Linked DNA regions of Schizosaccharomyces pombe. The gene in region 4 interacts genetically with the main gene of each other region. Each region holds a gene or a part of one and is shown on either strand. Other genes may lie near its edges.

The links.
Region 1: mutations in uri1 (region 4) and luc7 together harm fitness more than expected from each alone (negative genetic interaction), as found in Schizosaccharomyces pombe (one large-scale study listed by BioGRID).
Region 2: mutations in uri1 (region 4) and pfd1 together harm fitness more than expected from each alone (negative genetic interaction), as found in Schizosaccharomyces pombe (one large-scale study listed by BioGRID).
Region 3: mutations in uri1 (region 4) and nup37 together harm fitness more than expected from each alone (negative genetic interaction), as found in Schizosaccharomyces pombe (one large-scale study listed by BioGRID).

Annotation. Positions count from the first base shown.
Region 1 is NC_003421.2:890,023-895,166, forward strand, and holds luc7 (U1 snRNP-associated protein Luc7), read left to right. Parts: upstream 1-2,489; 5' UTR 2,490-2,697; coding exon 2,698-3,492; 3' UTR 3,493-3,814; downstream 3,815-5,144. Other genes in the region: ubiquitin hydrolase Ubp1, read right to left, coding at 1-1,644, 1,870-2,189; RSC complex subunit Sfh1, read left to right, coding at 4,149-5,144. UniProt on the Schizosaccharomyces pombe protein: Component of the U1 snRNP particle, which recognizes and binds the 5'-splice site of pre-mRNA. Together with other non-snRNP factors, U1 snRNP forms the spliceosomal commitment complex, that targets pre-mRNA to the splicing pathway.
Region 2 is NC_003423.3:1,754,414-1,759,615, reverse strand, and holds pfd1 (prefoldin subunit 1), read left to right. Parts: upstream 1-2,357; 5' UTR 2,358-2,519; coding exon 2,520-2,528; exon of another isoform or gene 2,529-2,625; coding exon 2,626-2,792; exon of another isoform or gene 2,793-2,943; coding exon 2,944-3,106; 3' UTR 3,107-3,350; intron 3,351-3,393; exon of another isoform or gene 3,394-3,494; intron 3,495-3,573; 3' UTR 3,574-3,715; downstream 3,716-5,202. Other genes in the region: actin cortical patch component End3, read left to right, coding at 1-658; protein Fis1, read right to left, coding at 1,214-1,314, 1,428-1,809; DNA-binding transcription repressor, glucose sensing, Scr1, read right to left, coding at 4,330-5,202.
Region 3 is NC_003424.3:4,867,474-4,872,911, forward strand, and holds nup37 (nucleoporin), read left to right. Parts: upstream 1-2,870; 5' UTR 2,871-3,026; coding exon 3,027-3,052; exon of another isoform or gene 3,053-3,103; coding exon 3,104-3,180; exon of another isoform or gene 3,181-3,253; intron 3,254-3,349; coding exon 3,350-4,422; 3' UTR 4,423-4,553; downstream 4,554-5,438. Other genes in the region: SPOM_SPAC4F10.16C (P-type ATPase), read right to left, coding at 1-637; SPOM_SPAC4F10.17 (uncharacterized protein), read left to right, coding at 1,115-1,486; hit1 (HIT zinc finger domain-containing protein), read right to left, coding at 4,703-5,099, 5,213-5,280.
Region 4 is NC_003421.2:324,331-330,103, reverse strand, and holds uri1 (prefoldin-like protein), read left to right. Parts: upstream 1-3,009; coding exon 3,010-3,157; intron 3,158-3,231; coding exon 3,232-5,183; 3' UTR 5,184-5,236; downstream 5,237-5,773. Other genes in the region: tfx1 (translin family protein), read left to right, coding at 1-355; DNA-binding transcription factor, CBF1/Su(H)/LAG-1 family Cbf11, read right to left, coding at 643-2,402, 2,481-2,562; dar2 (aspartate--tRNA (Asp) ligase), read right to left, coding at 5,237-5,773.

The DNA.
Region 1 (5,144 bases), 570 kb from region 4:
TCAATAACGATTTCCTCTTCCTCCACTATTTCAAACCTTTTAACCTCAATTTCCTTTATGCATTCCCATTTCCCGGCCTTACTTTCCATCCGCTTCAGTCCAAGCTGAAGAGTTCCGATTGCTACGTCTATGCCTGCATAAACTCGATACAGTTCGACAATCTCTTTCACTAAATCATTTGTGAGTACATTTCGAGAACGGACGTTGAGTTGTAAAGGAAATCCAAACACATCGTTAGACTGGTATGATCCGGGCATTGCCGGTCGTTTACATCCATGGACGATAGGTATTGTTAATCCGTTTGCAGTACTTCCATAAAGTACAACATGATCCCATTTATGAATTTTTTTAGATATTTTGTCTTTATTTTTCAATACCTTGTACACCTTTCCCCGATAAATGTCACAAGCAGTAAGTTCCCCGCATTCGAGTCCCATCTTTTGAAGCTTTTCCGTAGCTTGAAACTTCATTTGGATTACCGTACTTTCCATGAGAAGCTCCAAATACAATTCCACAGGACTCTGTGTGCCAAATGGCGGGACGTACACTACCTTGTGTCGCCATTTTGCACTAGTAGGAAGTGGAAGAGTAAGATACATGAACGGATCAAACGCAGTTGATTTTTGATAGCATATGGAGCACTCTAAGGTGCTTTTATACATTCCTTGAAACAACTGAACAATTATGGAATCATTTCGTTTTGTATGAATATCCCAACATTGATTTGCAACTCTCTGAACATGTAATGGGTGTTCGTCAAATAAATCTGGCCTTTCAAAGTATGGTTTTATCTGAATTCGATTCAAATCTTCGTGTAACCCGTCTAAGAAAAAGGCGATGAATTCCTGAGAATCTTGCTGACGATATCCAGAAAAATAGGTATTAAACTCGCCAATTATAAATTTGAAAGAACTAGGTGACACCGAGTGCATATCAGCAGTATGATGGATCATCTTCAGTAGACTAGCATAAGACAAGGCAACTTTCCCCATCATTCCCAACGGATTGTTGTAATTAATATCCTTTTCATAAGAATCACTAAGAAAATATTTTGTAAGTTCGTGTGTATGTATCATACATTGAAGGGCAGAATTCATATAGCATGAATTACCCAAATTGTAAAGACCGCAGAGTCCGATTTCTTTATTTATTGTTAAATTTTGCTCTTTGGTTATAGAGTCAGATAACCACTCTCCGTTAGGATGTTGAAACTCGAGCAATAAGCTTCCATCGGCAATATCTATTTCGAAAATAGTCATGCAAACAGCATACTCGGAAAGCAAAGCAATCGCAGGTTGATCATTGAACTCCGACAAACTTACAAACCTAGAAGATAGATTACTTTTGTTTAGATACCATAAACGGAAAGAAGTACCATCAGATATTTGGAAAGCTTCCATCACTTGTTTGTACAAAGACCGAAGGGTATCACTTCGGGAAAAGCTAAACGCATAGGGTTCATCACTATGATATGGTTCATCAATTTGGTATAATGGTGAATAGCTCGTGTTTTCACCGTTTATTGGGTCGAATAAAACGTGCAAAGTAAAGTTTATAGGATAGATATCTACGAATGGCTTTTGCTCAGCAGCCAATCCTACCAAAAGAACTTTTCGCTCTATAGCTAGACCTTCTAATCCAAACCTATATTTGAGTTAGCTAATAACATAATGGGAATTGAAAAGAGGCCTCAAAATCCAAGGGAACCTATATATTTAGGCACCGTGGGAAGTAATGCAAACTACATAAATTAATGAAATATTCAAAACTAAGACACAATGCTTTCAAAACATATATGAATATGAGTTTTGAATTTAATTAATAATGCCTTTTACAAGTACTGTAGAGACCTTTAAAGAAAATTCATACCACTCAACAAGCATATGCCATAGCGAAGCAGAGACAATGCTATAATCAATAGATTCCTCCAAAGAATGTTTAAGCTCGTTTTTTTCATCCAGCAGCCTCCATTGAGTTATAGGACCAGGGTTGTCGCCTTCTCCATATATAAAGTCAACGTATCCTTCGAACCAGTCATAGTCAATTAAAAAGGCAGTTTTTTCTTTTTTCCATTTTTCTTTATCCTCTTTAATTAAATTTATCGAATCTTGGAACGGCAATGAAGCAGGTTGGTCGATCCAAATTTGGGAATATCGAGTGCTTGCGTTTTGAGTAGCAGTTGATGCCATTCTCAAAACATGGTCATTTATTCGTTATATTTTTGTTTCTTCAAGTTCCACTCTTATAAATTGCAAAAAATTGGGGGAATGGAGTTGTTGGTTTAAGTAAACTTGTTGTACCAAATGGTGAAAAAGGATTTATACAGGTGACGCATATTGCTGCCCTCTGTCAAGTTTGAGTTTTCAACAACAATTTGTAAAAGTTGATCTAATCGAAAGAATAAAGTATCAATATATTGCCTCGTCTATATTTAACGATTTAGAAATAGCAACTTTTGAACTTTTCCGGGAAATTTTTTTTTGAATTTTAACCCAACAAGCTACTCAAATTACATCTCAATCAAATTTGAGCGATTGTAAACTTTAATTTTGATTTAATTGTGAATAAAGGAAAAAATTCTTTATACTACTTGTAAAACCTAGTGAAATTTTCTATTCATTTTACAGCGTTTGTCGAAAACCCACAAATAGGACATCAGCAGAGATAAAATTACATTTTGCCGAAAATACACTTATTATGGCCGCTGAACAGAGGAAAATCATAGAACAGTTGATGGGCAGTAATTTGAGTAACTTTACCTCTCGAGGCCTAGTACATTTCACTGATCGCAAAGTTTGCAGAAGCTTTTTATGTGGTATTTGTCCTCATGATATATTTACAAATACTAAAATGGATTTGGGGCCTTGTCCAAAGATCCACAGTGACAAGTTGAAGTCGGATTATGAACGGGCTAGTTATTCACATGACTATGGCTACGAGTGGGATTATCTGGAAGACCTAGAAAGACATGTTGATGACTGTAATAAGCGTATTGATATTGCTGAAGCTCGTAGAGAAAAAACAAAAGAGGAGGAAGAACGGATAGATGAGCTAATGCGAGATATAATACATACCGACCATTCAATTGAAGTTATTATTACAGAAATGGAGGCGCTTGCAAAAAGAAAATTAGTGAATGATGCAGTTAAACATTTTATTGAGCTTAATAGGTTGAAGACATACAGGAAAGAATTATATGATGAAGTGATTTCCATGAATGAAATTCCCAGTCAGGCTAGCACAACGCATCAAAAGCTACAAGTATGTGATATTTGTAGCGCTTATCTTTCAAGATTAGACAACGATCGTCGTTTAGCTGATCACTTCTCAGGAAAAATGCATCTTGGATATGCCATGCTGCGAAATATTGCTAGGGATCTTCGAGCTCAATTAGAGGACCGTGAAAAATCCCGTGATAAAAAGGACGGAGAGAAACAAAGAGATAATTTAGCTTCTTTTGAAGATAAAATCTCAACTTCCTTTGTTGCATAACCTACATTTCGTAATGAAAAAGTGGAGGATCTCAACTAACCGCCTTTATTCGCTTAGTGATGCCTTTTACGCAGACCTATATAGAATCTTATTATTATGTTTACCTTTTTACGTTTATGGTTGTTTCCTTACTTGCTTTTTTACAATATTCTTCATGTCATGCACAAAATAAGTGTACCTCTTATATTTTATATTCGTTTATTTCTAATCTCACAAGGTATATTGATATATGTATTTCAATTTGAATAACAGCTATAAGTATATCCTTAAAATAAAGCAGGAATAAACTCTTTGCCTTAATATTGTCGTACTAACCCAACCATCCTTACTTGTCCTTCAGCAACTGTTTGTTTTGGAGAATCTGAAATCGAAAGGAGTCAAACTATTTTACTAAATTAACTTTTTATTTTATTTTGTATAGATATCCTTGAAAATTCTGTGATTCGAAAGTCCAGTGGCAATGTAGAAGTATTAAACGTTTATCAACGGTTCTACCAAATCAGGGCCGATAAAAGAACTCTCGATTATAATTTACGTTTAATACAATCATATAGAATAAATAAAAACATAACATAGTACTTCCAACTGTAAATTGACTTGCGGCTTACATAGTGTTTTTTGGCATACTTGTGCAAACTACCGACTTCACAATTTACATGGCTCAAGCTTGTAAAACCACATACTCATCTCGTTTGAAAACGGGAAATACATGCTTAATCCAAAAAAATGTTGCAGTATCGACTAGGTCGCATTCTTCGTATACAGGCAGAAATTCGTTGAGAAATGTTCCAGCGGTTAATTACGCCGCATTCGAACAAGGTGAGGATTTTGAAACGCCAGTAGAAACTCCAGAAAAAGAAGAGGAAAAGTTCGAAACGGATGATCGGGGGCTGGCAGTTGGCAGACCAACCGGAAACAACATCTATCCAAGATTCGCGACTAAAACAAGACATATTTACGTTACAGACGAACAGCTTAAATGCGCTGCAGAAGAACGAGATGTATACATACCAATACGGCTGGATATTGAACTGCCCAACAATTATCGACTCAAGGACACGTTTTTATGGAACATGAACGAGCAAGTAATGACACCGGATGTGTTTGCTCAAATCTTGTGTGCCGATTTAGATTTATCTACGAATGTATATGGAACGCAAATTAGTTCCAGTATTCGTGCACAAATCGAAGAGTATGCACCGGTGGCTGAGGTGCCTATGCCAAAGGGGCAGGAAATGCTCGTTGTATTCAATATCCAAGTTCAACTTGCTCAGTTAAGCTACAATGATCAGGTGGAATGGAATTTAACGAGTCCTCTTACACCTGAGGAATTTAGTGTATTAACCTGCAACGATTTGGGGCTTTCTGGGGAATCTCGACCAGAAATTGCCTATGCAATCCATGAATGTCTTTTAAAGTTGAAAAAGAATGCATGTGAGGGTGATTTGCCAGATTACGACAGTGATGCAGTTCCTGGAACGAAGGCTGGACCTCGTCAGGACATGGATACTTTGGGTGCATTATGGCAACCAGTGCTGGAAACAGTTTCCCTTGAAGATGCCAAAAAGAATGAGAACAATCGAGAGAATTTGGTGAAACAATGGCGTCGTGAAGCTTCTAAGTTTGGAGGATTTGCGGCGGATGTTTCGGCA
Region 2 (5,202 bases), on a different chromosome or scaffold from region 4:
ATCTTTTAATGGCCTGGCACCTGTATTTACTCCTTTTGGGGTTCCCAACTCTCAAATTCAGAAGGCTTGGAAACTTGTCAATCCTCAGGGTACTGAAACCATACAGAAAGATCAGTGTTTAGTATTTTTGCACATCCTTACTCAGAGATCCAACGGATTCCGTATTCCTAATGATGTCCCGTACAGTTTAAAGGCTAGTTTTAAGAGAGGAAATATCGATTATAATTTAGATTCCTACAACTCTACTAATAACTATTACTCTTCACCTACAATGGCTCCATCTACGGGTGGTGCGAAGCCGAAGAGTGATCTTGATGCCCCGAGGGATGTGAGAGACTCTGACTGGGAGCTGATTTCATTAAGAAATGAGCTGTCCAAATTGGACGAAAAGATTCTTTCCCTTCAACGTGAAACTGACGATGTTAACATTGCACAAAATAAGTCAAAGCTTATTCAACGTGATTTACAGAAAGTACTTGACTATAAGTTGGGTATCCTTCAATCTCTAAAAAATGATGGACCAAATGGCCCCAGCGCTTCCGCCATTGATAATGACTTAAAAATGCTGGAACAACAACTTAATGTTTTGGGACGTCACTTGGAAGGTCGGAAGTCTCAAGTGGCTAAGCTAGAGGAAAGGCTTCGTAGTCTGTCTTAACAAAATCTCGTTTATAAAGCTCATCATCTCAAATACTTGAGTCTTTGGATGTTTTCTTGGAAAATCGACGAAGGTACACTCTTTCTTTCTTTCTTTATTGGGCTTAATAAACTGTTCAAACAGGAAGAGGGAATTGGATTGTAAAATCATTCATTAATGTCCATCATTATATTTTTTGGTTTAATCGATACAAAACTTTTGAATTAGTATAAAAGGAGGAACTTATTCAGCTTTTATAATAAATACTCACTCTCTTTTTATAACAATCTAAAACCTCCTTGAGGTAAATTTATTACCCTGCTGTTAAGAAGAAACACAAGCGAATTCAGAACTATCAACTGGGTAAGAAGAAAAGATAATATAATAAAAACAACAAGCTTCGATTTATAATCTTCTTTTTCTAAAAAAAGTGCACACTATAATGTCTCCCAAAGCCTTCGTAACTCATACGCGTTTCATGAAAAGGATACATCCACAATCCTATTGTTCGTAAGGAGAAAAAATTGAAGAATTTATGCAAAAGAAAGCTCCCTTGTGATTAATATCGTTTACGGTTTAAGGACGACGCTTTGAAAACAACCGTTTTGATGCCCAACCTACAAGAGCTGCAACTGACACCACTGCACCAGCTACCACAACCATTCCAATGTATCCTTCTAAAAACGGGTTAGTAATGATTCTTTTCATTATTTATAACGCATCTTTCTAACATAAACACAACATTCATGCATATGTGATACCTCATTAAGTTTTATTAAAATAAACATACCTTTTGTAACAGCATCGTAAAGACGGTTTTTTAGCTTTAAAGCCTCTGGGCTATTTGGATCTTTGGATAACAACATATTGAGATAACGACGGGATTCTTCATACTGCTTCAATTTGTAATGGGACAAAGCAATGTAGTAGAGGCATTCCAAACGCCTTTCCGGTGAATCTTTGTAAATGCTGCAGAACAAAGATAATCCCTGTTGTACATGCTGTGTAGAATCTGAGCGTACCAATGCCCAAGCAAGGTTAAATTTGGTTTGTAAAGTAATCAGAGGTTGTTCTGCATCGTATTGTTCCTTGATTTGTAGAAACTCATCAACAGAAATAATTGAATCAATAGCAGAAGGATCAGCGAGGCGAAGGGTGTGTTTTTCAGTCATGATGTCGTTATTGCTTCCTATATTGGTCTTTGAATGTGCCTTAATTATTTTAAAGGCGGATTAATATAAATAAACGGAAAATGTTGAAAAAACTACAGTCACTTGAAAAAAAATTCAACAACTCAAATATAAAAGAAGAAAAAAAGGGTTGAGTATGATGCAAAAATGCTAAATTATCAATGTAAACAGCCAATTCCAATTATAAAGGATTTGAGGCGCAAATGAGTGAACTACAAGGATAATGGATTTCCAAAGCAATAGAAAAGTCCAGAAATCCGATTTAGTAAGAATATGGATATGCTTTTTCCACAAAAATTTGAAACAGAGAAGGAATGAAATGAAGATTCGTTTGTGAACGCCATCGCCAACAATTTATGTAAGGAAGAACTTAAGGATATGGCAAAACATTTCACAAAATATTTATTACAAATTGTGGCGTATTATGTAATTCACATTTGCGAAACGTACCGATAATAAAAGCAGTGTAAAGTAGCTTGTAACATGCCAGCTTTGTACTTAAGGCCTAACCAACATTTTGCCTAAGACTTGATATACTTGTAAAGGTGGTATATTCAAATATATTGAAAAAGTTCTTGATTTGTCTATAAAAAAAGTATTAAAAGGACTATTCTTTGTACCATAATTTTGGAAAGAGCAATTCAATCCAAAAAAAATAAGTTCTTGAGATATACCCAAGTTTCCTTTAAATAATGCAAAATGTACGTATTTCATCATTGAGAAGAGAATTATTTTGTTAGGAATTTCCCTCTTTTTAACTGTGTTACATGGTAAACTAATGAGCTTTGGGCATATTAGTTAGCTAGTCAAATACAAGAGAAAGCGGTTGATTCACAGCAACAACTGAGGACCATAATGGTACAGATTGCTGCCAAGGAACGGGCACTAAAAATAAGTGAATTAGCCAAAAAAGAGTTAGAGGATGTTGGAGAAGATAAGGCCGTATATACTTCTCTTGGAAAGATGTAAGTGTCATAAAATGAAACATGTATTTTTATTTTCTTTTCTATAAAAATAGGGAAAGAATACGGAATTAGCAAAAACAGCACTTTTGGAATGGAATTGACCGTACTGTCAATCTATATGTAAAGTCATTTACTAACTGTTTATTTACAGGTTTATGAAATCCGATTTGGCTTCCGTACGTACACATTTGGACGCAGAAATGGCAAGTTTAAGAGAAGATATTGAAGCACTACAAAAGAAACAAACATATCACGAAACAACGGCCTCAAATGCTGAGCAGCATTTACAAAAGATAAAAGAGTCGATTTCTTAAAACATCAATTATAATCATCTCATTGGTAAATTGGATTATGGGATTGGAAAGTTTATGACTTTCTTTTTTATCTTTAAAACTGTAGAATTAAAGTAAATTTGTTCCATTAATCTTCTTGCATTTCTAACAAATACTGGGGCATTTGTGAGCCGAAATTTTGATCACTGTGACTGCGCTTTTGTGTATGGATACTTAAATTTCAAGCTTGAAGACTTGTGAATTTAGTATATGTTATACTTTTAAGGTAAGTTTTCTACTGTTAGAATTGACGTTTGGAAAAGTAAATGGAGAAAGGATTTCTTTGATGATTCCAAAAAAGCATAGTTCAACTGAGCATCGTATGCTGAAACTTTTTCCATCTGATTTGCACGTCAGTCTGAGATTTCTCGTTCCCTTTTGTTTCTTTCTTTTTCAACGTCTGTTTGTCTGACTTTTGTGTTGGCTGTTTTACTGACCCATACTTTAAGGTGTTCTATATTTTTTCAAGGATATCATTAACTGTGTGGAAGCTGTTTTGTTCTCCATTAACTTCTGATTTCTTTTTGAGAGATGCACAAGGAATAGTTTATAGCTTACTTATAGTTTATGAATAAAATTATCCGAAACGAACTGTCACTAATCATTGTTTAACAAAGTATGTAGTAATGTATTAATATTAACTATGGCGACAATATTAGGACTTGAAGGTCTCTCATATCAGATGTTTGTTTCTGAATTAAAATAATAATTCTATATACGAATTGTGAAGTTGCCGTTAAATTATGATGGTAATTTGCTGTAGTTCTAGTTAAAGTCATTAATGTAGATCCTGCAGTTCAACTTTTTGATAAGATCTGCAGACAACTTTATATACAATAAATTTAGCTAAATAAAAGCAAAAAGGATTAAACACCATCGGTAAAAAAAAATAACTTTATTAGTTTATGGTCTATTGTACCCATACACTGATCAAGAAGTAATTTAAACATATAACATAAATTTTCACCTATGAAAGCAGTCTAATAAACACAAAATAACATTACTAATTATATGCCAAGAAGTTTAAAAAAAATTTAAAACAAAAAAAAAAAGAAAAACTGAACAATGGAACCTCAAATGTCGAGACTCATGATACTAATAAAAAATTTAATACTTAATTTATAAAATAGCATAACACACAACCAAGGTGTTTAGATGGTTTAAAGGAAGCAAAGGTAACTAGCGTTCACAGCGCAAATATTGGGTTAGGGCTTGGTCATAGGAGTTAACGGCCCTATTGAAAATGCCGGTGTGGTGGTGGAATAGGAAGACGACGCCGACTTTGTGGATGAAGAAGGAGATGGCGGTGATCCGGCCAAAAGGTTGCTGACACTCACACGCGAAGAAGAGGAGAACTTGCGTGATCGTCGATTCGATGATATACGGACTGGACCAACATTCGACTGGGATGCAGGTTTGTGAGGCATGCTGCTATTAACGTTGGAGAGCGAGCTCAGAGAGACGGACGATGGAGTACGAGAGACAGCACCAGAGGCTGGTGTAGACGCGGAAAAGGCGTTAGGATCACACTTCAAAGGAGGAATTAACGGAACTTGAGAAGGTCGTAGAGAAAGCGAGCGGATAGAAGGTAATTGAACGCAAGATGGATCATCCATGGGTCTCAAACGAGGAGAATGTGCCGGTGTAACGAGAGGTGTGACGTCTGGGGTGGGACTAAAGCTCCTAGTGGAAAAGGTAGGACTACTCGGTGCAGTGCTGCAGGGGGAAACCGGGCGAGAGCGACGCTGGTATCGGAAATGGGCAAAATCACTTGACGAAGAATCATCATCAAAGCCATTGGATACGCTGGGTCGAGAATAAGGCAAATAGTTGTAATGGGCATAACGTAAAGACTGAGGAGCGTAAGCCGTAGTACCAACGCCATACATTGAATGAAGGCTAGTACTACTGTTAGATTTGCTAGGCAGATAGGGAGTCTGCATAGACGAATTACTATATAAAGAGTTGCTCGAGCCATTAGTATACTTTGTAAATGAACCAGTGGATGAGTTAGAAGTTAAGCCTCTATTGGGAACCGATGCGAGATGATTAGGAGAAGTATTGGATGATGATGGCAG
Region 3 (5,438 bases), on a different chromosome or scaffold from region 4:
AGGTATTATTAAACTTCTTATCAAGAACACATCTCCGATAATCCTCAATTCCATCCTTAATAGCTGTAGTAAGCAAAATAACACTCAAAGGAATAAACGATAAGCCCAGGTGCTCGGGACAAAACAACGGAATACATTGAAGAAGAGTGACAAACAAAAAAAAAGCATTTGCTATGTTTTTAAATTGATTCCAAAGATTTTTGGGGATAAACGAAACTGGAGTATACTTGGTTGTGCGAATTTTATTACTAGGAAACCATTGCGATGGTAAATGCCTGTGTTCTTCTGGAATGCTAGTTACGTAAATTCTGCGAACAGAAGCATCTCCACTTTCGGTCCCAGCTTCATTCTTCTTTGATGTAACACGGCTAGTCCATGACTGATCTGAGTTGTTACACGAACCTTCAAAAGAGTTAGCTTCCTCATCATCCCTCGAACGTTGTTCCGCATGTGCTTCTTGTGAAAACTGGCTTTCGTGATGACGAGAAGAATAATCAGTTTGGTTTGTAGGTCCCTCATGAGCTAATGAGCCATTGTGCTGAGGTACATGGTGTAGATGATTAAAAGCACATATGGATAAGCCATGCAAAGAGGATTTCAATGAACTAATAGCATCAAAATTGATTAGGCTAGGCATCAAAGGGATCTACAATTCCTCAAATTCTTCCCAATCAGTTGCAGAATTACGAACGACTGCAACGTTCGACGATACCAATGACACAACTGGGAAATAAACAGAATTGATATCGCTTACGTACAGAATTAGTTCAATTAAGCTCAAAATTCGGCGTAGAGAAAGTCCTTTGAGGAGGCAAAATGGGTATGGCAAGATGATGTGTATTGATGTAATCCTTAAGTGCTGGGGTGTACTATATATACAGTGCAAAGGGTATGGGTAAAGTAAATAAACGATTTCTCAATAACAACAAATAAAGCATATTTATTGTTGTTTAATTTTTTTCGTCTTGAAAAAGAAAACAGAATTGGAAAATTGCTAAGGCACCATAAACAGATAAAGTATAACGTTTTAGTTCATACCCACTAGCGTTGGTAACTAAAACTTACACAAATTTTATATTTTTTGCTTTATTTTTTTTATCTTCATATTGTTAACATGGCGTTTCGTGCTGCAAGAATTGCTTTCGCTTGGAAGGCAACCAATCCTGCTAATACAACAATTCGTCAATATATAAAAGAAACACTGGAAGAAGCACCTGAGAAAATCAGTCAAACTGTCAAAAAAGCAACTGGTAAGGCTTCGAAAAAGATAGATGAAAACAAAGATAAGTCACCACAGGAAATGGCTGAGAATGCAAAGCAATCGGTAAAGCAAACTGCCAAGGATGCAAAAGATACCGACTATCAGCAAAAGGCGAAAGATGCTGGTAAGAAAATAAAAGAGGAATTTAGCCAACGGTCGGAAAACGTACTCGAAGAAACTCGTCGTGAGGGGATGAATCGTGATGGTGGTGTTAAAAAGGAATAAAGAGGATTCCTTGTAAATGAATCGAGTTAATGTATTGAGTGGAAGCTTGTATACAAGCTCCTTGATGCTCTTTATGATTTTAAAGATGCTTCACGTTTGAAAACATCGCTTTCTTTTTGGATTTATATGAACGAACAATGCATGATTTACAAAACGAAGCTAGAAGATTGTTAATAAACTAAAAATCATAGTTCAACGGTTCCTGGCTTTTATTTACAAAATAAATTCAATTTTTGATGATAGCAAAAAAAAAAAATTTCATGATTTAAATAAGAATGAGATTATCGCGAGATGTGTTAATTATATTCCGGTTGTATAGTCTGGTATTCGTGGCAGTGATACTGCATATTTTGCATTGCCGATGCTAGCCTTAGTATGGACTTGACTGTATGTAAAAACTTTATGGCCCACATGCTGTCAACAGCTACTATGGTCAAATTTAAATTTTGTTATTCTATAGGCCGGATAGTTGTATAAAGGCATTGTAATGGATAATGGTAATAATACTCATTTTGGTCAAACACATTCATGCCATTCTACTCCAGTAAATTCAATGCCGCTCGTTGTAAGCATAGCGATAAATCCCAAAGGCTGTTCAAAGCAATAATTTCAAATTTGTATTGCAACTTGCCAACATTTTTAAAGTAAATAAATTCCGTTATTGTACAGTGACATTCTCATGTTATATACGCTCTACAGTCAATAACATAATATCATTCACCAACATGATAGTACTCGATTGTATTATATTTTACTAGTCTTGAAGCAAGAATAGCCATAGCCCTTGGGTTTTTGAAGTTGCCAAGATTTCGGCTCAGAATGAAATGCCCAAGCTAAGATTTCCGAAGGTTTTTTCAAATTTTCAATATTTACTGCATTTACTCCCTCCACAAAATCTGGTTTATACGAGAAGATGTGACTGCTAAAATGATCATTATGCTATAAAAAACCCCATTTGTCGTTTACAATGCTTTACATTCGTTTTTATCCACACTATTCACAAGCCTGTGTCACGGTTTATGTAATTGGCTTGGGGAACGTGTTGGAAAGAATAAAACCGCTGTATACTTCATACGGAACGCAATTATTACTTTTCGTTCTGCAATAAATCAGTGGAATATCGTGTTGGTTTTTTTACATATAGTTTTATTTTGATGTATTTAGTAAACACTCTATTTGTTAATTGAATATAAGTTAAATTATTAAAAGATATTTAGTATAAGTACAAATTTTAGTAATTGCATTAAAATGGTTATATTTATCGTGTTTCATTATCTAAACTGCTTTGTATAGGTTTTCGTTTGATTTTTTGTAAATTAATGGTGGTAGTTTTGGCTCCGTAAGGTAGAACGTTTTCTTCAGCTTCATCCAATTCACGTAACCCACTAGTTACCTGCAACACCATATCACTAGAAAACGTGGCCGAAACTTCTCTTTTTCCATTTGTATATATAAATGCATTTTTAATTTCTTTATCTTTTTATTGTCTGCACAATAAAGCGTTCATTCTTTCCGTTTTTTTTGAAAACTATTTTTCGTCATGACTCTTTCCTCTAACCAGTATCAGTACGTTCAGCGTTATTTCGTTTATGTCTCTTTCTAACTTCTGTTTATTAGATTGCCTCTTAATGTCCGCCCGTATACAACGACTTGGTGTTCCCAGTCTCCTTCCTGTTCAAATCTTCTTGCCATAGGTATGTAAGATATCTGAATGTTACGACGAATGGTAATTTACGTATTACTCATTTCTTCTTTTCTGTTTTCCTAAGTTACAATATTTGAGAAAACCTCAGTGCTAATGAAACAATTATCTTCAAATAGCATTCCTCTAAACGTTTTAAACTAATGATTAACCTTATACAGGCCATGATACGGGTATCACTATTTATTGTGCTTCAGAAGAACAGACGCCCGGATCTACAGGTTTGACATTACAAGAGTTGTTCACTATTCAAACTGGGTTACCCACTTTGCATCTTTCTTTTTCATCTAGCTGTAGTTATTCTGAGAATTTGCATGATGGCGATGGAAATGTGAATTCCTCACCTGTGTATTCTTTGTTTCTTGCATGTGTGTGTCAGGATAATACAGTTCGTCTAATAATTACAAAGAATGAAACCATTATTACTCAACATGTGTTGGGCGGAAAATCTGGGCATCATAATTTTGTGAATGATATCGATATTGCAGACGTCTATTCCGCTGATAATCGTCTCGCTGAGCAGGTGATAGCATCTGTGGGCGACGATTGTACGTTGATTATATGGAGACTGACTGATGAAGGGCCTATTTTAGCTGGATACCCATTGTCTTCCCCTGGTATTAGTGTCCAATTTCGCCCATCTAATCCTAATCAATTGATTGTTGGAGAAAGGAATGGTAATATTAGGATTTTTGACTGGACTTTGAATTTATCAGCTGAAGAAAATTCTCAAACCGAGTTGGTTAAAAATCCATGGCTTTTGACTTTGAATACCCTGCCACTCGTTAACACCTGTCATAGTAGCGGCATTGCTTCCTCTTTAGCTAACGTTCGATGGATCGGAAGTGATGGAAGCGGTATACTTGCAATGTGTAAAAGTGGGGCTTGGCTTCGTTGGAATCTTTTTGCTAATAACGATTACAATGAAATCTCGGATTCCACTATGAAATTGGGACCCAAAAATCTACTGCCCAACGTGCAAGGCATTTCATTGTTCCCATCCTTGCTTGGTGCTTGCCCACATCCCCGTTACATGGATTACTTTGCTACGGCACATTCTCAGCACGGCTTAATACAGCTCATTAATACATATGAAAAGGACTCGAATTCAATTCCTATTCAATTAGGTATGCCCATCGTTGACTTTTGCTGGCACCAAGATGGATCACATCTTGCTATAGCTACGGAAGGATCTGTTTTGCTTACCAGATTGATGGGGTTTACGAGATTATGAGGGTATAGAACAATATACTTAACATCGAACTAAAATAAACGGGTTCAGGAGAGGAAATTGTATTGAATAAATATTAATGTTCATAGTTAAACCAAAAAGTAGTATTTGCTATGTATTAACATCGTGTAAACGCTGTTACTTTTAAAAATTTTAAATGGATGTGTTGCTTTCGTAAACAATTCGCCTTGGTTCAAATATCGCCTTTGATATTTCAACTTCCAATAACCGATATGCGATTTGAATTGAATCTTCTAAATGTTCGTTACAATGATAAAACCCATTATTTTTGAGCATAATATTTTTCCAGAATCATGGATGCCAGTTTTTCGAAAGATGGATTGTGTAGCCGCTGTTGCTGAATAGCATCTAAGGTTTTCAGAGGAACAGAACCCTCTTCCTCACGGTCAAGGTTCACTAATTCTTTCATTATATGTAAAAGCTCGGCATTACTTTCAATTAAATTTTTTATGCTAGGATCTTCGACAATAGATTCCAAAAGACTTTCACTTGGCAATGCCTCTTCTGCTAAACTTGGGATTCTTCCATTAACGTAGATAACATTAGGAGAAGGTTCTGGGGGGTTTAAAGGTTCTTTAACTCCTTTGAATGTTGTTGTGTTATTGTCATTTACAGTCTCACATTGACTTTGGTGGATTTTCCAGCAAGGTAATGAACAACTATTAATTCTATATTAGTATTTTTAGGAAACAGAAAAAAAGAATAAAGCATTGGTTCATGGGTTAATGTGTATTGAAACAAAATGCATTGTTCTGAGCTTACAAGCACATACTAAGGAAATGAACACTTCGGGCATTTATATTTTATTTCTGATTCGTTGCATATTGAACAAGTTGTCATGATAGCGTTTAAATTTTTCTAATGTATTAGAGGAGAAACCTTTTTTTTTAGACAAGCTCAAACAAAATAAGATTAAAGGGAGAAGAGCAATAGAGTAACGTCAAACCTTGCTAGTTCAAAATACAGTTAACACTGAATAAAAAGGCTCTGGTTTTTCC
Region 4 (5,773 bases):
AGATAGTAGCTTTAGAATTTCTATTAATTTCATCGACTATGTACTCGGTGTTTGTGACATGACTGGTGAAATAATGAGATTCCTTGTAACCAACGGCTCTAAGTTCTCTGTCCAACAACTCACTCAGCAAGTTAAATTTCTTCGTGGACTACACAAAAACTGCTCAGAAATTGAACACTTACCATCTAAGGTCAAGTCAGAATTACAGCAGAAATTATCAGTAATGGAGAACAGCATTTCAAAAGTTGAAGGAATTTGCTATAGTAAAATTTTAAGAGAAGCAGATAAAAGATATTTAAATTTGGAAGTGGATACAGCAACTCCTCCCGAGGAGAAACGATTACGGTCCACATAATATATGATCGACAGCTCTCGACAGACACCTTACTAGTTTATTAAAAGTTTTTCTGTTTTGCAGCTTTTGAAAATCATAATTATTAAGTACATATTTTCGACGATTCAATTATCTTATCAAAAGCTTCCGCTGCTTTCTATATGTTAGAGTTTCCATAAGCTAGGATGTTTGTACAATATAAAGTTCATTTAATAAGAGAGATTTCAACCTAATTCCATCATTTTGAAAACAAATTGTATTTCAATATTTCGCCATATGAAACCACACGTAAAATTAATCATGATGCATCAGTTTCCAAAAGCACTTGACGTTAGCAAAATCTCGCATTTTCCAATAATGACAATCCCACCTGGAATCACGAACAACAAAGGATACTTTTGTTCTGCACAAGAAGGATCATATGAAATTTGCGACAGACCTAGAGTGACCGTACCCATTGTACTCGTATCAGCAGCTGCGGTAAAACTATACGACAATGGTCCATGAACACCTAGCCAAATTTGTAATCCGACCGAATAGCCTCCAATTTTAAATTGTAATGAGCGCGAGCTCTCCAAATATTCGGGTGGCTCTTCAATATATGGATAATCAGTAACCGTTGGTACAGGATTTTGATTGAATGGTAACATCATCGTACAGTCAAAATGTGATATGCCCACTATAGTCCAGCATACAGAATCTCCAACTCGAGTCATTTCATTTGAACTCAAGTTTCCAACAGCTTCCCATTCTATGGGCAATATAGCCTCACTAGATGCATTTCTGTTTTGTGCCGACGTGGCCCCAAGAAACCAACGGACTGAAATATTATTGGAATATGCCAGTGAACTATGCTCAGCGATCTTAAGATGCCGTACGTTTGATATGGGATATGCGCTTTCTAATACAATTCTATGCATTTGATTAACGTAACCGTCCTCCTCAGCAATGTGGTCTTTTTCTACTCGTCGAATAATTAAAGGGTCACTCGTCGTTCCTGTTGCTTCATCGACCAATTCAACGATGGAGCCATATTTAATGGGTTCTGGGTTATCGACATCGTCGCATACCTTCAGTTTACCATTTTCATCTGGTAATAGCAGGTTAATACGCAATGGCACCCATCTATCACCGCGAAGACAAAACTGACCAGCCTCAATCGATGTATACTTTGTACGTACAGTTTGTGAATTAATCCGGTTATAAAGGCTGACGACTGAACCGGATCGCAACGTAATATTACTAATTTTTAGTTTGCTTCCTTTTTTCGAAGGTTTGGAGACAATACTAATAGAAGAAGTAACCAAATGAGATAACAATTGGTTATTTACATTCGAGAACATGTCCAGAGAAAGCCGTAAGTTTTTAGATTTCGCAGCGACCAAACTCGATATATGCAGTGACCGAAAAATCATACATCCTTGGCCAGTGTATTCTTCGCTGATGGGTTGCGAACATTGCCCAAAATCATTCATTATTGATATCTCAGTGCGAAAAGACTGATTGAATATAGAAGAGTAATTCCCATTAATATAAACCATAGGGGGTGGACATAGGTAACGTTTCTCTGACCCATAAGACTTTTGTATGACAGAGGAATGTCGACACGAAACTGTTACCAGCTGACTAGGTTTCCCTGAACGTGTAAGTGAAATTTTGTGCACACTGTCCTCATTCAAATTAGCAATGCCAATACAACAATTGTTCAGTAAATCCAAATGATCTGATATGGCTCTTCGGATCATCTCTACAGAACTGTCTTCATCAAAGGTTTTTCTTTTTCTATTAAACCCAGGAGGAGAAGGAGCAGGAATTATGTTTTGGGCCAGCTCGTCCAACGAATTAGACGCCTTTGCTACAGCAGGAAAAATTGACTGTTCATCCTTAACTACAGAAGGGAATTCCTCTGATTTTTCCAAAGTAGCCAAAGCTGAGTTTACAGCACTGAAGAGAGACAAAACCTGCATGGAAACACTTCCAGGACTCCCGCTTCCAACTCTTTCAGAATTTTCATTCCTTCCTCCAGCTCCATCCTCCTGATTATGCAAACCATTATTTATGTTGTCCACTAGAAAAATCCGTTAGCTATTTTACGCTTGGGATGTTCAGAATGATTTATAACTCAACCATCATTGCTAGCGCTTACAGTTCAACTGATTTAAATTTAAGGAGCCAGAAGTATTACTCCCAGAGATATTTGCAAAATCCCAGGCAAAATAGTCCCCCATTAATGTTCAAATTATGTTTTATACTTGCTTAAACTGTTGGACCTATAGGATTAAGACATGCATTTGCTTTTACTTAAATTATTTTCAGTGAGAAAATATTAAAATTTAAAGTAAGGGACCAAATTACTAGATGCTTAGGACATTTGCAGTATGGCGCTTTCTACGTACATTAGGGTCAGGTCGGTGGCTTCCTACTCAGTTTGAGCCATTTCCATTAACATCGATTTTTCGATATTATATTAGTTACCCTGTTATTTAAATACTAAAAGTATTTAAAATTTATTAGAATTACTTATTATCTCGTTTTTAAAGTGAATATTAGCTTGCCCGAATAAGCTGTATATGCCTTTTTCCGGAATAACCACGAAACGATCGTTGGCGTGAGATTATTTTGAATTAGAAATTCTTCAATAACTCTATTTAAGATCCTTTAAAACAACTTATCGAATGAACGACGAAAGACTAGTAGCCATCAATTTTGAACAGCAAATCTTCTCTAAGATTAGCGAAATTTCTGAATCAGTCGGTAGGGCGATCCGTTACTGTAAGGAAGATGGAAAAGTTGAAGGATGTGAAACAGCATCCCATGTGGATTGTACGTTACTTTTTCTTATAAATTGAGTGATAATGTTTGCTTCATCAAACGACTAATTGCTAATGAAAATCCAGTCTTAAATCATATTCATTTACTTTTGGGAAATTACAATAATGACTTAGCATCTTCAATTGAAAAGAAGAAATCCGAGTTGATAGTAAGAAACTCAGAAGGGTTACCTGTTATGGATATTCATGAAGAAGTTGATAAAGATGGAAATATTATAAGTGCTTCTGTTGCTCCACAAAGAATTTCATCTGTAATAGATTATGCGGATGTCTTTCGATCCCTTCCTGGTTTCAAAAATATTGAAAATGGGGGGAACCGTGATACATCTTCGAGAATTGAAGAGCTATCTGAAGAAGAAATTAACGATTCTACGAAAAATATTAACTACAAAGCTCCAGAAATGGGCTCATTACCTTCTAATACTGAATTTACTTCAACTCCAACACTTGGTGTCTCAGAATTTCCCAGCAAACATGGTGATCATTCAGACAGTAAAACATATGAGAGTCCTATTAGTAATAGTCAGGCTGCTTCATTGAGTGATTCAGATATGGTTCAACAAATTAAAAATGGTAGCAAGACTTCTTTGTTTAAAAAGGGTTTTCTTTTCAAAAAAAATAATGCAATGCAAAACAGAACTACTTCAAATATAAAGTCAAACGCTTCTGCTATTGAAAAAAATAAAGAAACGATATTGAATGCTCTCAATAACTCTACTTTAAATGAAAATGGACATCAAGATACCCAAAATGAAGTTTTACGAGACATTGTGTTAGAGCATCCGACAGCGAAGGCCCAAGATACTGGGGAATCTAATAAAGATAATAACACTAGCACGTCTAAACATAAAAAACGACCTAAGCGTCTTTCAAAATTTAAACAAGCTAAGCTAGAAACAAAAAAATCTGGCAACAAAGATCATGCTACATCTAGTGAAAAGCTTTCACTAGGAAATGAATCTATTCATTCTATAAACGAAACTAGAAGTAGTAGTATAGAAGAACCAGATAATGCCGACAATAAAATTGTCGAAGAAGAACCGATGTTACTACCAGTTCCGACGACTGCGCAAGGACAAAATGTTTTGGAAGCAGTACAATACGACGGTTTAGACTCTTTAGAAGATATGGAGGCTCTCATTCAGGAAATGGAGGAGGAAGGCGAATTAGATGATAATTCTGAGTCTGAGGAAGATGAACATGGTATGACGATAGGATTTTCCAAGGAACTGAAAGCTCCACCGGATCCTCAATATTTTACAGAAAAGACTGGTGCTACAACTTATGTCAATGGTAATGACGAGAGCCTAAATGTCAGTGACTTTCCACAAATCGTTGAACAAGAAGAGCTTTCGTCAAAAAATCCTCGAAAGGTACATTTTTCAGACACGCTGGAAATTAAACACGTCAGTCGGAGTGGAAAGGCGAATATTGAAGTTATACCTGCTCCAACTGAAGAATACGATAATCTTTTTGGACCAGACGATTTTCAGAGTCGTATTTCAGCGTTTCGTAAAGCAAGGAGCAAATTGCGCGCAAAGGAAAACGAAGAGGGCAACCATTCTAATGCCACATGTACAATCAAGAACGATGATTTGAGTAACACATTAAATAATCGGGCTGCGAATACAAAGTTAAATCCAAAAGAAGAAGACAAATCTACTGTAGAATCCGAGCTTAAAGCACCGCCTAAAGAAAAAAGCTCGGAAACTTCCAAGGAATATTTAAATGAACCATCTGTAGTAAAAGATTTTGTAGTTGAACGAACTCCATCTGACAAAATTAGCGAGTCTAAAGAAGCATTCGATGCGAAAGTCGAGGAAATTAGTGATCAACGAGCTATATCACAACGTTACTACGAACTGAGAAAAAAAATGATAGATAATACAGGTGAATATATTAAGGATGAAGAAGAACAGGCAGTTATACCTTTGGATGAGAATGGAAATGAAAAACCTAAAATGAGCCGATTTATGACCGCGAGGTTGCGTGGTCGTGTTCCCATTTATGAGCATTAGATTAAAATTTTGTATAAAAAAAATTAAATGATTAATGTTTTTGCTTAAGTTATCTAATTACGGTTTTGAGTTTGTCGCGTAATAGCAACGTTGTAGTCTTTCAACATCTCTTCTGGAATAGCAGACGGGCTGCCAATTAAAAGATCAGCACCCGAAGAGGTTTTCGGAAAAGCAATGACCTCGCGAATTCCTGGAGCATTCGTCAACAGCGCAGCCAGCCTGTCAAAACCCAATGCAATTCCACCATGCGGTGGACAGCCACTAGACAATACGCGTATTAAATGCTCAAATGTAGCATACCTATTCTCTGGTAATTTAAGCACGTCTTTAAGCACAAATCTTTGAATATCTGGATTGTGTATGCGAATACTGCCACCCCCTAATTCAATACCATTCACGACTATATCATAATGAAGTCCACGAACAGAAAGAGGCTTTTTTTCCAGTAAATGTACATCATCCCAATGAGGAGCAGTAAATGGGTGATGTGTAGATGTAATAGATTGATTTTTCTCTTCGGTTGGTGAGAAAAGAGGAAAATCCACGACCCAAACGAATTTTAATAAATCCTTGTCCAGCTCTGGTAAAGC